2 linked regions of the Rattus norvegicus genome follow. The protein of the gene in region 1 interacts with the protein of each later gene in a biochemical or structural test. Links are inferred from orthologs where the notes say so. Each region holds a gene or a part of one and is shown in the gene's direction. Other genes may lie near its edges.

Region 1 (6,230 bases):
TCAGGAGAAACAGTGAACTGGCCCCCAGATTCCAGAAATGCCTGATGGACCATGAGGCAGGCAGGCTGTGGAGGGTGAGGGCCCTTGGGGTTAGTGTTCCTGGAAGGTTTTAGCAGCATAGTCCTGAGGAGATCTGGGGGAAAGCATACATTTGCTGAACCTCGGTAGACAGATAGTAGAAGGTGGAGATACAGTGATGGCTGCCTAGCAGGTGGATAGGCAAAAAGAGCCCCTTTCATTGGGTGTCTGTGTGCTTACCTCATTTGCAGGCTGAGGATGGAGAAGCACCTTGTCGGAATAACTCATGTTAGGTGTGGAAACACCTTGGCATAGCCAAACCTATTTCCAGCCCCTCTGTGCCTTAGTACCCAGCAGTCTGGATCTTAGAGACTGCCTGTCCCTCAGTGCTGCCTCTTGGACCAGTCAGGATTCCTGGTTTCCTTGGTAACGGGAAGCACGTCAGCAGTCTGGGCACTCCCAGCCATCCCGGTGCTGCGGTTGCCGAGGAGACACTGCAGCCAAGCTGGGCCCTGGCAGGTGAGGGGGGTGGTGCTGGGAAACCTCAAATCCTCAAGCTTGCTAGGGCTTCGGCCCTCAAAGACCACCCTTTAGTTGAAAGTGCTGGATAGAGTCTAGCTAGGAGGAGGATCCCGGAGGGTTTGGAAGCCACACCCTGTTTATGTTGAGTCCTATAGATTCTGCTGGGCCCCAGGTGGCTGAGCTATTCCCCAGAGGCCGAGCCTCCTGGTGTTTGTAAGACTGGCTTAACTGAGGCTTTGATGTCACCACTGGAGGGTGGGGTGGAGATTCAGAATTGGGGAGGGGAGCCTGGTTAAGGAAAGAAGAGCAGAAGAGCTGGGGTCTCATGAGCTCCTCTTCCTCACCCATCTCCATCCCCCAAGGAGGTTCCCCAGTATGGTGGTCTTGGCCCCTCCCTCGAGAACTCCAGGCGGAGGAGGATCTTGCCTGGCAGACGCTCTGCCCTGGTGAGAAGGGGGCGGGATGAGCTTTTCTCTGCAGCCCAGCAGCAGGCTGTGAGCCCAGCTGGCTGGGCTAGAGGGGATGCGAGGAGGGAGGGTGGAGGCAGGAGGGGCAGAGAGTAAGCGCCATGTTCTCCCAGGACTTCTTCCTGGCCATCATCCTGCAGGACAACAGTCCAGGTGAGGGGCACCATGGGGCTGGGTGTGATGTGGGATGGGGCTGGCAAAGAGAGCAGAGGGGAGGCCATATAATCCGGAACAAGGATGGAATGCTGTAGCCCTAGGAGAGGAGGGGTATATACCACAGATACAGAGTCTATGTGTGTGCATGGTATATATGAGTGAGTGAGTGAGTGTGTGTGTGTGTGTGTGTGTGTGTGTGTGTGTGTGTGTGTATGTGTGTGTGTGCGCGCGCGCGCGCACGCGCGCTATCTGCACAGACATAGCAGAGGTTGATAATACATTGTATCTGAGTGTTTCCCCACCTGTATGTGCATGTGGTACTCACATGTATGTTGGGAGGTTTTGGTAATGCTGTATGTACACACCTGTTAGCAGGGCTGGCATCTATAGCTATATATAAACACATAGCTCTACACAAGTGTATAACTGGTGTTGTTATGTCTGTTTGCCCCTGAACTCACAAGCATACCTGTATGTGGTGCCTTCCAGAATTTTCTGTGCGCTGTGCACAGTTTATGGCTGTGCAGGTGTGTGGTGGGGCTTACATATATTGTGGGTCTGTGTGCATGTGGATGTGTGCAGAAGCCGGCAGTGTGTGCACCTTTTATAACTAGACAAAATGTCTATGCATGATGTGTGAGGAGGTGATCTGGGTCATTCGGCCTCCTTCTTTCCTCCTCCTTCCTCTCCGCTTTCTTCTTTCTCTCCATGTGGCCACATTAGGCAGCAGCAGGGCTAGCAGCAGAGGAGACCTGAGCCATGCTCCCCACTGGTGGCTCTCAATGTGGTGACTAAAGTGTCCGGCTCTAGAAGCAAGCAGGAATTATAATGTCCCTTTCCCAGCTTCTTCTTCTCAGCCTTGGGGTCTTGGGAAGGGGACTGGCCCTCTACTGGATGATTATTGGGTAGGCTGACCCTCACTGAGCCTCCTACCTGGCAGATTCCTTCTGGAACCCCAACGCTTTCGAGACGGATTCCGATCTACCGGCTGGATGGATGAGGGTCCAAGACACCTCAGGGACCTACTACTGGCACATCCCAACAGGGACCACCCAGTGGGAACCCCCAGGCCGGGCCTCCCCATCGCAGGGGAACAGTCCCCAAGAAGAGTCCCAGGTAAGGCTCAATGGCTTGTTGCACACCAGGGGTGGAAGGGTCTGTGCTTCTAGAACAGGGTGAAACTACCACCCTACACCCATTCTTCCTCCAGCTCACCTGGACTGGCTTTGCTCACCAAGAAGGCTTTGAGGAAGGAGAGTTTTGGAAGGTAAATAAAGAAACCAGCTTCACTCTGGGGGCTACTGGAGAGGGGGACTTCATTTTGGGCTTGATTCTTTAATTTGTTTTCAAAGGATGAACCTAGTGAAGAGGCCCCAATGGAGTTGGGACTGAAGGACCCTGAGGAGGGGACATTGCCCTTCTCAGCTCAGAGCCTCAGGTGAGTCAGATGCAGCAGACTAGGGTGAGACTGGATCTATGTGGAAGGGGTATTGGGAGGATTCTTAAAACTAAGGGTGCTGTGTCAAGTGTTCCCATCTGCCTCCAGCCCAGAGCCAGTGCCCCAGGAGGAGGAGAATCTGCCCCAACGGAACGCCAATCCAGGGATCAAGGTTTGTTCAAGACCAACACCCATTTAGTAAGCAGGCCTCTATGTGGAGGACAGACCTCATGCTGTGCTTTGAGGACATCTGTGGTCTTAGCAAATCTCCCAAGCAAGTTCTTACCAGTTTCAGGCAAGGCCGTGTGTATGCTGAACAGTCTTCTGACAGCTTCTGTGTTTAACTCAGTTGGCCCAAGGGCCTCTTAGGGACTCTTAAGGCTTAGATCAGCAGGCCATCTCTTCTGACCATGTCTTGTTTGGGGACCTTCCATCTAAGTTCAGAATGTCTCACATGTTTTATGTGCCAGGTCAGGAGCTCCTCTGTCCTGTGCCCAAGGCACCTCCAATTCCATCTCAGATCTCTACCCCGACCCTTTTCTGTGTCTGGCAGTGTTTCGCTGTGCGCTCCCTAGGCTGGGTAGAGATGACTGAGGAGGAGCTGGCCCCAGGACGCAGCAGTGTGGCAGTCAACAATTGTATCCGCCAGCTCTCCTACCACAAAAACAATCTACATGATCCGATGTCTGGAGGCTGGGGAGAGGTGAGGGCCTGAGCTGGTGAAGTGGTGGTACCGTGGGGGTGTGCAGCGAATTGTGAGATACGAAGGATTTGACTAGTCTCCGAGAGGGCTGATGGACATGGGGGTATATATGGGTTTAAGGAGCAACTCTGAGGGATGGATGTGTAACTCCAGCCTTGCACCCTGAGGAGTGGTTGCTTAACAGTGATGGGGATAAGAGTCCTGGGACAACCTTTGTTAGACTAAGGCCCACAGGTGGGCAGTCTGACAGCTAAGTAAGCCCTGCTCCTCCCCAATGGTGGCCAATGTCCCCTTTGCTGGAGAAGGCAGAACTCTGCCCCCCTCCCCCACTAGGGTACCACTGAGTCCCACCTCCTGGGTTTGCAGGGAAAGGATCTGCTGCTCCAGCTGGAGGATGAGACGCTAAAGTTGGTGGAGCCACAGAACCAGACACTGCTGCATGCCCAGCCCATCGTCAGCATTCGCGTGTGGGGCGTTGGGCGGGACAGTGGAAGGTGGGCACAGGAATCGCCGGGGTGGGGGAGGCTCATCCATCCAGCAGTTAGTCCTTTTTCTAATCTGCTCTTTGGCTCTCTTGTGCTGCCGGACCCAGAGAGAGGTATTAACGTCCATCTGCTTTGACTGTGCCCCTTCCTACTCCTGGACCGGATGCTTCGAAGCACCTAGGCTCCCTTACTGTGTGCCCTGCCCCTTCCTCACCTGCTGTCCTGGGCCTTATCCCCCACCTCAGCATGCTTGCCTCTGGCCTCCCCAGCTCCTGAAGGCAGACCTACGGAACACCAGGGCAAACCCTGTAGACTGTCATGGACAGGGAGGTTGAGGGTGGAATGGTGGCCAGGCATGGCATTTGGTGGTTCTAGGAGACACTGAGGTGACCCTCCCCCAACAGGGACTTTGCCTACGTAGCTCGAGATAAGCTGACCCAGATGCTCAAGTGCCACGTGTTTCGCTGTGAGGCACCTGCCAAGAACATCGCCACCAGCCTGCATGAGATCTGCTCCAAGGCACGGCCCCCTCCACTCCCTGAACTAGCTGTCATCTTTGCTCTAGAAGGGTGTGGGTAGGGTTGCCGGTTGGTGGGTAGTGAGGTGGGGGCTTCGGGGCCAATGTAGCTCTAACAGAGCACACACACCCCCCATTCATTCCTCAGATCATGTCTGAACGGCGCAATGCTCGCTGCTTGGTAAATGGACTCTCCCTGGACCACTCTAAACTTGTGGATGTCCCTTTCCAAGGTGAGTACCACACGCAGCCTCATAAGGCACAGCTCAGCTTTGTTAGTTAAGGTGAGGTGACCCAAGAAGAGGCACAGGATCCTGGGCAGGCATGAGCACATGGAGATGGGTGCTTGACAGTACATAAGTGGATAAGCTTGTAGAGGGAGGCAGGGGAGAAGTGGGCGTGAGGGTTGGACTAGGAAAATGCATAGTTCATGCTTTAGTGTCAGGACCTAGAACAGTGACCCTCTTTTTCTTTTTCTTCTCACAGTGGAATTCCCAGCACCAAAGAATGAACTGGTGCAGAAGTTTCAAGTCTATTACCTAGGGAACGTGCCTGTGGCTAAACCCGTTGGTATGTGTCCTCTTCCCTCAGGGGCCACCCCCTTGGTCCTGGTACTCTGTGCCCCGCCCTGTGTTTTCTATGGTTCATTCTCCTGGATTTTCTCGTTACGTGGCATCTCCTTGCCTTTCAGAGTTCATCCCACCTACCTTTGTGCCAGCCTTGTCTTGTGTCCTGCCTGTTACTCCAGTGAGCATGTTTCAGTGAACATCTAGCACAGGACTAGTGCTGAGCTAGACACGGAGGGTGACTTTCTTCCCCTAGCCCTGATCCCATGGAAGAGCTTTGCTGGGTTTAGGAGGCAGGTGTTTGGATGGCTGGAAATACCAGGCATTAGCCTGGCGCTGGGTTCAGTACAGGAGCCATACATATCCAGAGAAGGAAGCCGTAAGCATAATTAACATAGCTTTAATTTTATAAAAATATAGAGTTTTTTAAAATATACTATTTAATTTCACAGCACCCGCCTTCCTTCCTTCCTTTCTTTCTTTCTTTTTTTCTCTCTCTCTCTCTCTTTCTTTCTTCCTTCCTTTCTTCCTTCCTTCCTTCCTTTCTTTCTTTCTTTCTTTCTTTCTTTCTTTCTTTCTTTCTTTCTTTCTTTCTTTCTTTCTTTAACAATTACCTTTGAAACCTGTTGTGTCAGGCCCTGTATTGGGAAACAATGGCCACAGCCTGGTTTTCATGGAGTTTATGGGAACTTACAGTAGAATAATCAGGACCCAGTCAAATAAATGTCATAATAAGTTAAGGTCTCTGTGGAAAGGAAGCAGCAAGATACAGCAGAAGACCTTCATTTAGTCTAGGAGGCCAGAGAAGGCTTCCTGTGAAGCCTGGCCTAGTGACACCTGTAATCCCAGAACGTGGGAAGCTGGAACAGGTTGGCTGCAAGCATAGTGAGTGATATATCAAGTACCTGGCGAGCTAGGGCTACAGAGAAAGACCTGTTTCCTTGACCCCACCCCAGCCCTGTGAACAGAGGAAGGAAAGAAAGCACAGTCTTGCTTGAAAGTGTCACATGACTGAGAAGTATGACGAGCAGTGACTGTTAGTGGAGGGAGACAGACCACGGAAAGGCCAGTCTCAGCTGTATGGATGGTGTGTAAGGCTCCGGGGCAGGGGACACTGTGGTACCTGGGAAGCACTAGGAGAAGGCTTAGGACAGCAATGTGGTTTTCAAGATTAAGAGCTGCAGGGAACCATTTTCATTGGTCAGCTTCCATTACTATATAAAACACCTGAGGTGATCAACTTCTAAAGAGAAGCCGTTTATTTTGGTTCATGCTTGGTTGGCTTTGTGGCAGTATCACGTCATATAGGAGACTGTGGCACAGCACAGACACTCCTGGCCTGGGACCAAAAGGAGAAG
Region 2 (6,788 bases), on another chromosome or scaffold:
ACAGCTCTGTGTTTTATCTGTTAACAGAAACATGTGCTAACTTTTATCCTAGAACAGAGACTCTCTTTTATTATTTGACTGCCTCTAATTAATTTCCTGAATATATGAAATTATGTATTTTTGGTCACAAGAAGTATTTCTTGCAGATTCTTTTTTTTTTTTTTTTTTACTTATAAGTCTACTGTTCCTGTCTTCAGACACACCAGAGGAGGGCATCAGATCTCATTACTGATGGTTGTGAGCCACCATGTGGTTGCTGGGATTTGAACTCAGGACCTACTAGGAAGAGCAGTCAGTGCTTTTTTTTTTTTTTTTTTTTTTTTTTTTTTGGTTCTTTTTTTTGGAGCTGGGGACCGAACCCAGGGCCTTGCGCTTCCTAGGTAAGCGCTCTACCACTGAGCTAAATCCCCAGCCCCGCAGTCAGTGCTCTTAACCACTGAGCCATCACTCCAGCCCAGAAGTATTTCTTATACTCAGATTGTTTCCCTTCAGTGTCTTCTTGACTTGGGCTGGCTAGATAGCTCAGTGGGTAAAGGCGTCCAATCTGCCACACATGAATATTCAATTCGCAGCCTCCAGCCCTTTGGAGATCATCATTAATCTACTCATGAGGGCAGAGAGCCCTGTGGCCCAGTGACTCCCTCTGAGGTCCCATGTTGTTGCATTGGACAGTAAGTTTCCCAAACATATTCTTTGGGAGACACACGGAAACACCATGACAAGGCTCCTCCAGAGTTTCCCCCCAGTCTGCCCCAGGAATGTAGCTGGCTTTATCTTCTTAAATGGTGAGAACCCTCAGCTTAGCTCCAGGCAGGATTGCAACAGCTAGGGAGCTTCAGCCTCTTCTCAAGGCCCACAGAGCCTGCAGGACAGCTAACCTAAGGTTCTCTCGCAACCCATCTCTAACCTAAGGTTCCCTCCCAACCCACCCATCCAACGTCCTGTCAAATGTTTCCTGTCTTGTTATCTTCCCAAGTAGGGCTGCAAGGCCATGGTGTAGGAACTGTCTCCCTTCGAGCTGTGCAACAGAATCTTACGGAGAACCACCTGAGGAGCTGAAGAACTCAATGGAGGAGTCAAAACAGAAACCCCAGGCTAACCTCAAGTTGTGAGAGCAAAATGGATCAAAGGTAACTTTTATTTCTTGCCAGAACTGAACACAGCACCCTTTGTCAGTCTCCCTTGCCAACTACTGCAAGTACTTCCACAGATAGGCATTCTGAGAAAGGTAAGGTCATTGTCCCCACAACACTCAGTGAATTCATAAAATCAGCAGCTTGGGTCCTTAGGGGTCTTTGCAATCTTTTTCTCATTAGAGAGCTCCCTGAGCTGTAGGAAGGGCTGAGGCAAGTCACCGGGGCCACTCCCATCCTCTGCTGTATCCTGCTTCCCTGTGGAGGATGCAGATCTTTTTCTAAACCAGCCTTACAATGTCTGCAGAAGCAGAGGCCCCACATTTAATGCCAAACATGCTCAAACCTCCCTGAGTTCCCCATCCATTAGGTGGGAATCCTAAAGCTCACCTTACAGGCTGCTGGGGCTCAATTGAAGCCCCAAGGTCAGTAGGAAACAGACTGAAAGGGACTTGCTCACATTTCTCCCTATTCCCACCTGTCCTTCCCCTTTCCCGAACTCAGACTTCTGAAGCCAACCTCTATTTGCAAATCAGAATGAAGGCTTTATTCCTCGGAAGTAGAAGAACTTGTGTTTTCCACCCTTCTGATACAAAACGTTACAAAAGGTTAACATTTTTTGAAACATGTGACCTCAAAAAGATTTCTTTCTGGAGGCCACCAGTCCTTGGCTTTGAGAAGTGATTCCTCATTAGTGTCAGTGATTCTAGTGGGGGCGCGGCGGAAAGACGGTGTCTTTACAACAAACCCAATTGATTATGCCCTCCAAGTCACAGAATGGCAATTTGTTAGATCCCAGGAGCAAACACCTGGCGATTGGTGGCCACAAGCAGGAAGAACACAATGCCTTGCTGGAATCAAGGTATGCAGCAACCAGGACTCTCCTGAGGACACCTGGGATGCCTTCAGTTGACCTGAGGCCCCACTATTTTCACAACTCTTAGCACGTGACAAGGCTCTTCTGTAACCAAGAGACCAATATAGATCCCAGGAAGAAGGGAACCAATACGGTTAGGAAGACTATGACCTCAGGCAATGCTAACAGTACTGCAGATCCAGGAATCCGTTCAAGATTGCATCTTTCAGCCCTTAATGCTCTGTTCTGAATGCACTGGAAAGCTGGTACAAGTAGGGCTCCATGTGCCTCAACACTCTCCCCCCATTCAGCCTTGACTCACAAATCACACCCTTTGCCCTAAGCCTCTCCACCTGCCCTTCCCTCGACAGCTCCTCCACCACCAGGGATTCTGTGGGGTCTCCGCCCACTCTGCCCGCCTAGCTCCAGGTCTACGCCCCAATCCCCAGCCCTAAACCCACGACCCTCCAGGCTTTTCGGTGGAGCTCGGCTTTGTTTCTCCCTACTAACTCCTTCTTCCAGGCCTTTCCTAGACCTAAGATCCCGAAGCTTTCCCGCAAAGGTCGCCCGGAATCTTTCCCTTGCAAACAAAAATCCTGGAATTCACTAAGTTAACCTGTTCCTCCAAACTACAGTTTCTCCCAAATTCTCCTTTGGGACCTTAGGCCACGCCCCCTGTCTTGCCCCCAGACTCCATGGCCCATCCACCCTTTCCACAAAGGTTCGCCCCACCCCTCTGGACCTGGGCCACACCCCTGTCCCGCCCCCTCACGCTCCGCCCTCTTAGAGGCGCGGACCGCCGAGCCCCGCGCCTTTTGTGTGGAGCTTCTCTGCGGCGCGCACCCATTCCCTCCGCGGCCGCGGACCGAGGGCCGTCGGCGCGCGCAGTCCCCTCTGCGGGCGGAGGGTCCCTCCGCCCCGCGTGCACCCCGCACCCCATCCTCCCGCCGCCGCCCCGAGTTTCAAGGCGGACGCGCGCTCTCGCTCCCGCCCTCGAGACCCCGCCGCTCGCCCCCTCCCCCGGCCCGTCGGCTGGCGGGCGGCACGCGCACGCGCCGGCCCGGGCACGCGCGCCCGCCAAGATGGCAGGGGCCGGGGCCCAGCTGTCAGTCGCCGCCGCCGCCGCGGCCGCGCTGCCTCGCAGCTAGCGGCCCGGACGCCCGCCGGAGAAGATGAGCCCCCGCCGCCGCCTGCAGCCCAGCCAGACGCGGAGCCGCCGCGCCCGGGGCCGGCTGCCCCGCTAGCGCCCCGTCGCGCCGCGCCTTCATCCCCGGCCCCGTGCCCGCCCGGCAGCCACGATGAGGTGAGTAGGGGCCTCGAGCGCGGCGAGGCCTGGAGCGCCGGGCGTGGAGGGCGGGGTGTCCGAGCATCGAGGGGGCACCGGAACCCTCAGCCGGCGGCCCAAGCACCAGAAGACAGTCAGGCCCCGGGGTCCGCGGGAGGCCGCGCCCGCCTTGTGCTGTCTGCCGGCTGTGAGCGCCTCAGCGGCGGTCCTGTTCACTTCGGCTTCTGTAGCTCATCTCCATCAGGGCGCTCTCATCATCACCTTTCTTTCTGACCTGTCCCCTTTCTCTTGCAAACCCGCACATTGTGTAACCCCCAAAAGGTACGGCTTTTGATGTGCCCCTCAGCCGGAACCTTGTCAACACCCAGAAACTCCCGTGCTCTCTTCATCGCTGCTGCACCCAGGTTTCCTTTCCAGACTAACCTTAGCCTGCTTTCTGGGGTGGGGTGGGGGGCGGGGCGGGGCGCATGGCAGCGTATGCCGGTTTTTTTTTTTTCTCTTTCTGTGCAATGTTATCTTCTAGATACATCTTTCTTAAAAACACTGTAGTGTCCAATTGTAGATTCGTTTCACCTGTTTTGTGAACTGTATAAATTCAATAATGCATTATGTAATTTTTGTGTCTGCCTTCTTTCATCCAAGGTATTTCTGAAGTTCATCCATCAGGTTTCTATTATCTACTGTCCTGCGTAGTGTAGACAGTCCACACTTTATCCATTCTGCTAATGTTAGTAGACTTTTGGGTTGTTTTGGGCTATTAACCGTTCGGCGAATATGCCAAAAGCATTCATTTCTAATGAATATATATTCTACCTACCCACAAGCAGGTTGTTGTTGGTTTTGTTGGTTTTTTTTTTTAAACATAAAATCATGTACATCTTTTGTTGTAGTGGATAGAACTAAAATTCCCAAAGTCATGTTACCAGTTTATACCAGCAAACATTTAATAACCCTTGTTTAAAATCCCTGACACCCCTTGGTATTGTCTGATGAAATTTTAGCCATTCTGGTGAGTGTGAAGTGACATTCCATCAGGGTTTTAATTTGCAGTTTCTGGTTGACTGAAGAGGCTGATTGTCCATCTGTGTATGTTTGGCATTTTTTAAAAATTAAGTGTCTGTTTAAATATTGTCCAGTTTTAGCGTGAGGGGTTGTCTTCTTCCTAATTGGTAGAGTTACTATTCGTAAGTGAAGAAGATAGCTTGCTAACATTTTGCAGAAATTTTAATATTTTGCTTTTTATATAAAATAATATGGTCCACCTGGAACTGGTTTTTGTGTAATGTGTAAAAGGAACTGTTTTCACATTTACCTATCATGATTTATTCCTCATCGTTTACCAAGCTCACTGTTTCCCTCAGCTGCAATGCCACCTTTGTCATCTTTCAGACTTCCTTTTGGGGTCATATCTGTCTGAAGAACGTCTTTTAGTGTCTGTCTTTCTGCCTATCGCAATGTTGGGTGTATCAGACCAAGGCAAGGGTCTTGCACGCATCCAATGATTGCTATCCGAAGCTTTTGCTTGTCTGCTTTTTGTATCTTTTATGTATATGAGTGCATGTGTGCATATACATTCCGTAGGGGCGGGGGCACACCCAGGCCTGGGGTTAGCATTAGGAGTTATTCTCCAATTTCTTCATTGAGGCAGGGTCTCTCAGTTGAACCCACAGCTGGCCACTAACCATCTGTGGTCCTGTCTCCTTCTAACAGAATTGTAGGGAGGCTGCCACACCCACCTACTTTGATATGGGTTATATGGATAGACCTTCAAGCTTGCATGGGAAGCAGTTTATCCTTGAAACCATCTCCTGTGTCTTTGTTTTTGTTGTTTTTGAGCAGGGTCTCAGGCTGACTTGGAACTTAACCATCTCCTATCTGCTGGGATTCTGAGTGTACACTGCCGGCCTGGTCCCTTTAGTATTTTTTAGTGTAGGTTCTGCTGGAGCAGATTGTTAGACTTTGTTTGAAAATGTTTATCCTTCACCTTCCTCTGGTTTATAAGCAATTTTATTGAGATATAACTCATAGCACAAAGCATCCAGGGAAGCATGCAGTTCATGGTTTTTAGACTGTCCACAGAGCTCTGCAACCATTACCATTAGAACCTTTTCCTCCACTTTAAACACTCCTTTCATTGGTTAGTTTCGGAACTCAGCACTCCCCTGGCTCCAGCTTTTCACGCTGTCTTGTAGTCTGACTTGACTGTTTCTGGTGAGGAGTCACTTGCTATGTTATGTAACGTGCTTCAGATGTCAGGAGAGTGGGGCTTGCTTTGTCTGCTTCTAGGTTTTTGGCTTTTTTTTTTTTTTTTTTTTTTTTTTTGAGATACGAGGTCACACTGTAACCCAGGCTGGTTTCTACTCCTTGGCCTTGCTCAGCCTCCTAAGAGCTGGGATGAAAAGTTTGCTCAATATCAGTCTGTTATGTGTTTTTATCTTTATAGTTAGGTTCCTATGCCTTTTTCTTCCTCCTCCTCGTCCTCCTCCTCCTCTTTCTCTTCCTCTTCCTACTTCTCCTCTTCCTTTTCCTCCTCTTCTTCCCCCTCTTCCCCCTCCCCCTCCTCCTCCTTCTCTTCCTCCTCCCCTTCCTCTTCTTCCTTTTCCTCCTCCTCCTCTTCTTTCTCTTCTCCCTCTCTCCCTTCTCATTCTTTTCTAGTCCGGGATGGGTTCTCCCTGTAGAGTTGGCTGTCTTGGAACTCTCTCTGTAGACCAGGCTGGCCTCACACTCAGAGCTCTGCCTGTCTCTGCCTCCTGAGTGCTGATTGTATGGCTTCTTGAATCTATGGACTCATCTGTTTCCTTAGCTTTTCCCGCACCAGCTGCTAGGACTGCCTTTACCCATTTTCTCTTACATTTGCTCTAGGACTGAAGTCATTCATGTGGACCATTTTATAGATATCTATTTCACTTTCCTCCTTTACCCCCCCCCTTTTTTTTTTACCTCGCCATTCGTTTTGGATGTCTCTTCACCTGTCTCTCTTCTGCTTTATAGAGACCGCCATTGAAACTATGCACTGTGGTTTTAGCTCAGTCACTGTGTCGTTCAAACCACAGTCTGCTGTCTTTTTAAGTTTCCAATTATCTGCTCAGCTTCTCAGCCTTGTCTTTTATCTCTCCCCATGCACAGTGATCGCTGCCTGTGTTTGCTACACAGTGTCCATACTCAGTCATTTCCAGGGCCTTTTCTGCTGATCTCATGCATATTGTTGCTCGTTATGTGCCTGTCTCCTCCTCCTTCTCTTTCTTCCTCCTCCTTCTAAAATATGTCCTGGCCACAAATTGTTTTTTAACATAATTTGAGGCCGAAGATGATGGTCTTGTCCCCTAGAGGTAATTCACATTTGCTCCACTGTGGGGTCTCCTTGGTCCAGTTTCAGGGACCGAATGAAATGTTTCCGAGCTGAGTTTCATTCCATAGCAGGACCAGCCTGTTCTGTTCATCCTTCCACCCTCATGATTTCTCCTCACCAACACCTGCATTCCCCACCACCCCAGGCTAAGTCTTAATATTCTTC

What was found.
Region 2: the proteins of Apbb1 (region 1) and Evl form a complex in vitro, tested with the Homo sapiens proteins (2 studies listed by BioGRID). The link is inferred for Rattus norvegicus from reciprocal best matches to the Homo sapiens genes APBB1 and EVL.

What each region holds. Positions count from the first base shown.
Region 1 is NC_086019.1:169,314,151-169,320,380, reverse strand, and holds part of Apbb1 (amyloid beta precursor protein binding family B member 1), read left to right. Parts: exon of another isoform or gene 1-537; intron 538-826; exon of another isoform or gene 827-865; coding exon of another isoform or gene 866-986; exon of another isoform or gene 987-1,108; coding exon of another isoform or gene 1,109-1,160; intron 1,161-2,103; coding exon 2,104-2,279; intron 2,280-2,373; coding exon 2,374-2,430; intron 2,431-2,515; coding exon 2,516-2,601; intron 2,602-2,709; coding exon 2,710-2,773; intron 2,774-3,154; coding exon 3,155-3,304; intron 3,305-3,670; coding exon 3,671-3,798; intron 3,799-3,896; coding exon 3,897-3,902; intron 3,903-4,193; coding exon 4,194-4,308; intron 4,309-4,454; coding exon 4,455-4,539; intron 4,540-4,792; coding exon 4,793-4,876; intron 4,877-6,230. UniProt on the Homo sapiens protein: Transcription coregulator that can have both coactivator and corepressor functions. Adapter protein that forms a transcriptionally active complex with the gamma-secretase-derived amyloid precursor protein (APP) intracellular domain.
Region 2 is NC_086024.1:133,235,748-133,242,535, forward strand, and holds the start of Evl (ena/VASP-like protein), read left to right. Parts: upstream 1-2,799; 5' UTR 2,800-3,287; coding exon 3,288-3,292; intron 3,293-6,788. UniProt on the Homo sapiens protein: Ena/VASP proteins are actin-associated proteins involved in a range of processes dependent on cytoskeleton remodeling and cell polarity such as axon guidance and lamellipodial and filopodial dynamics in migrating cells.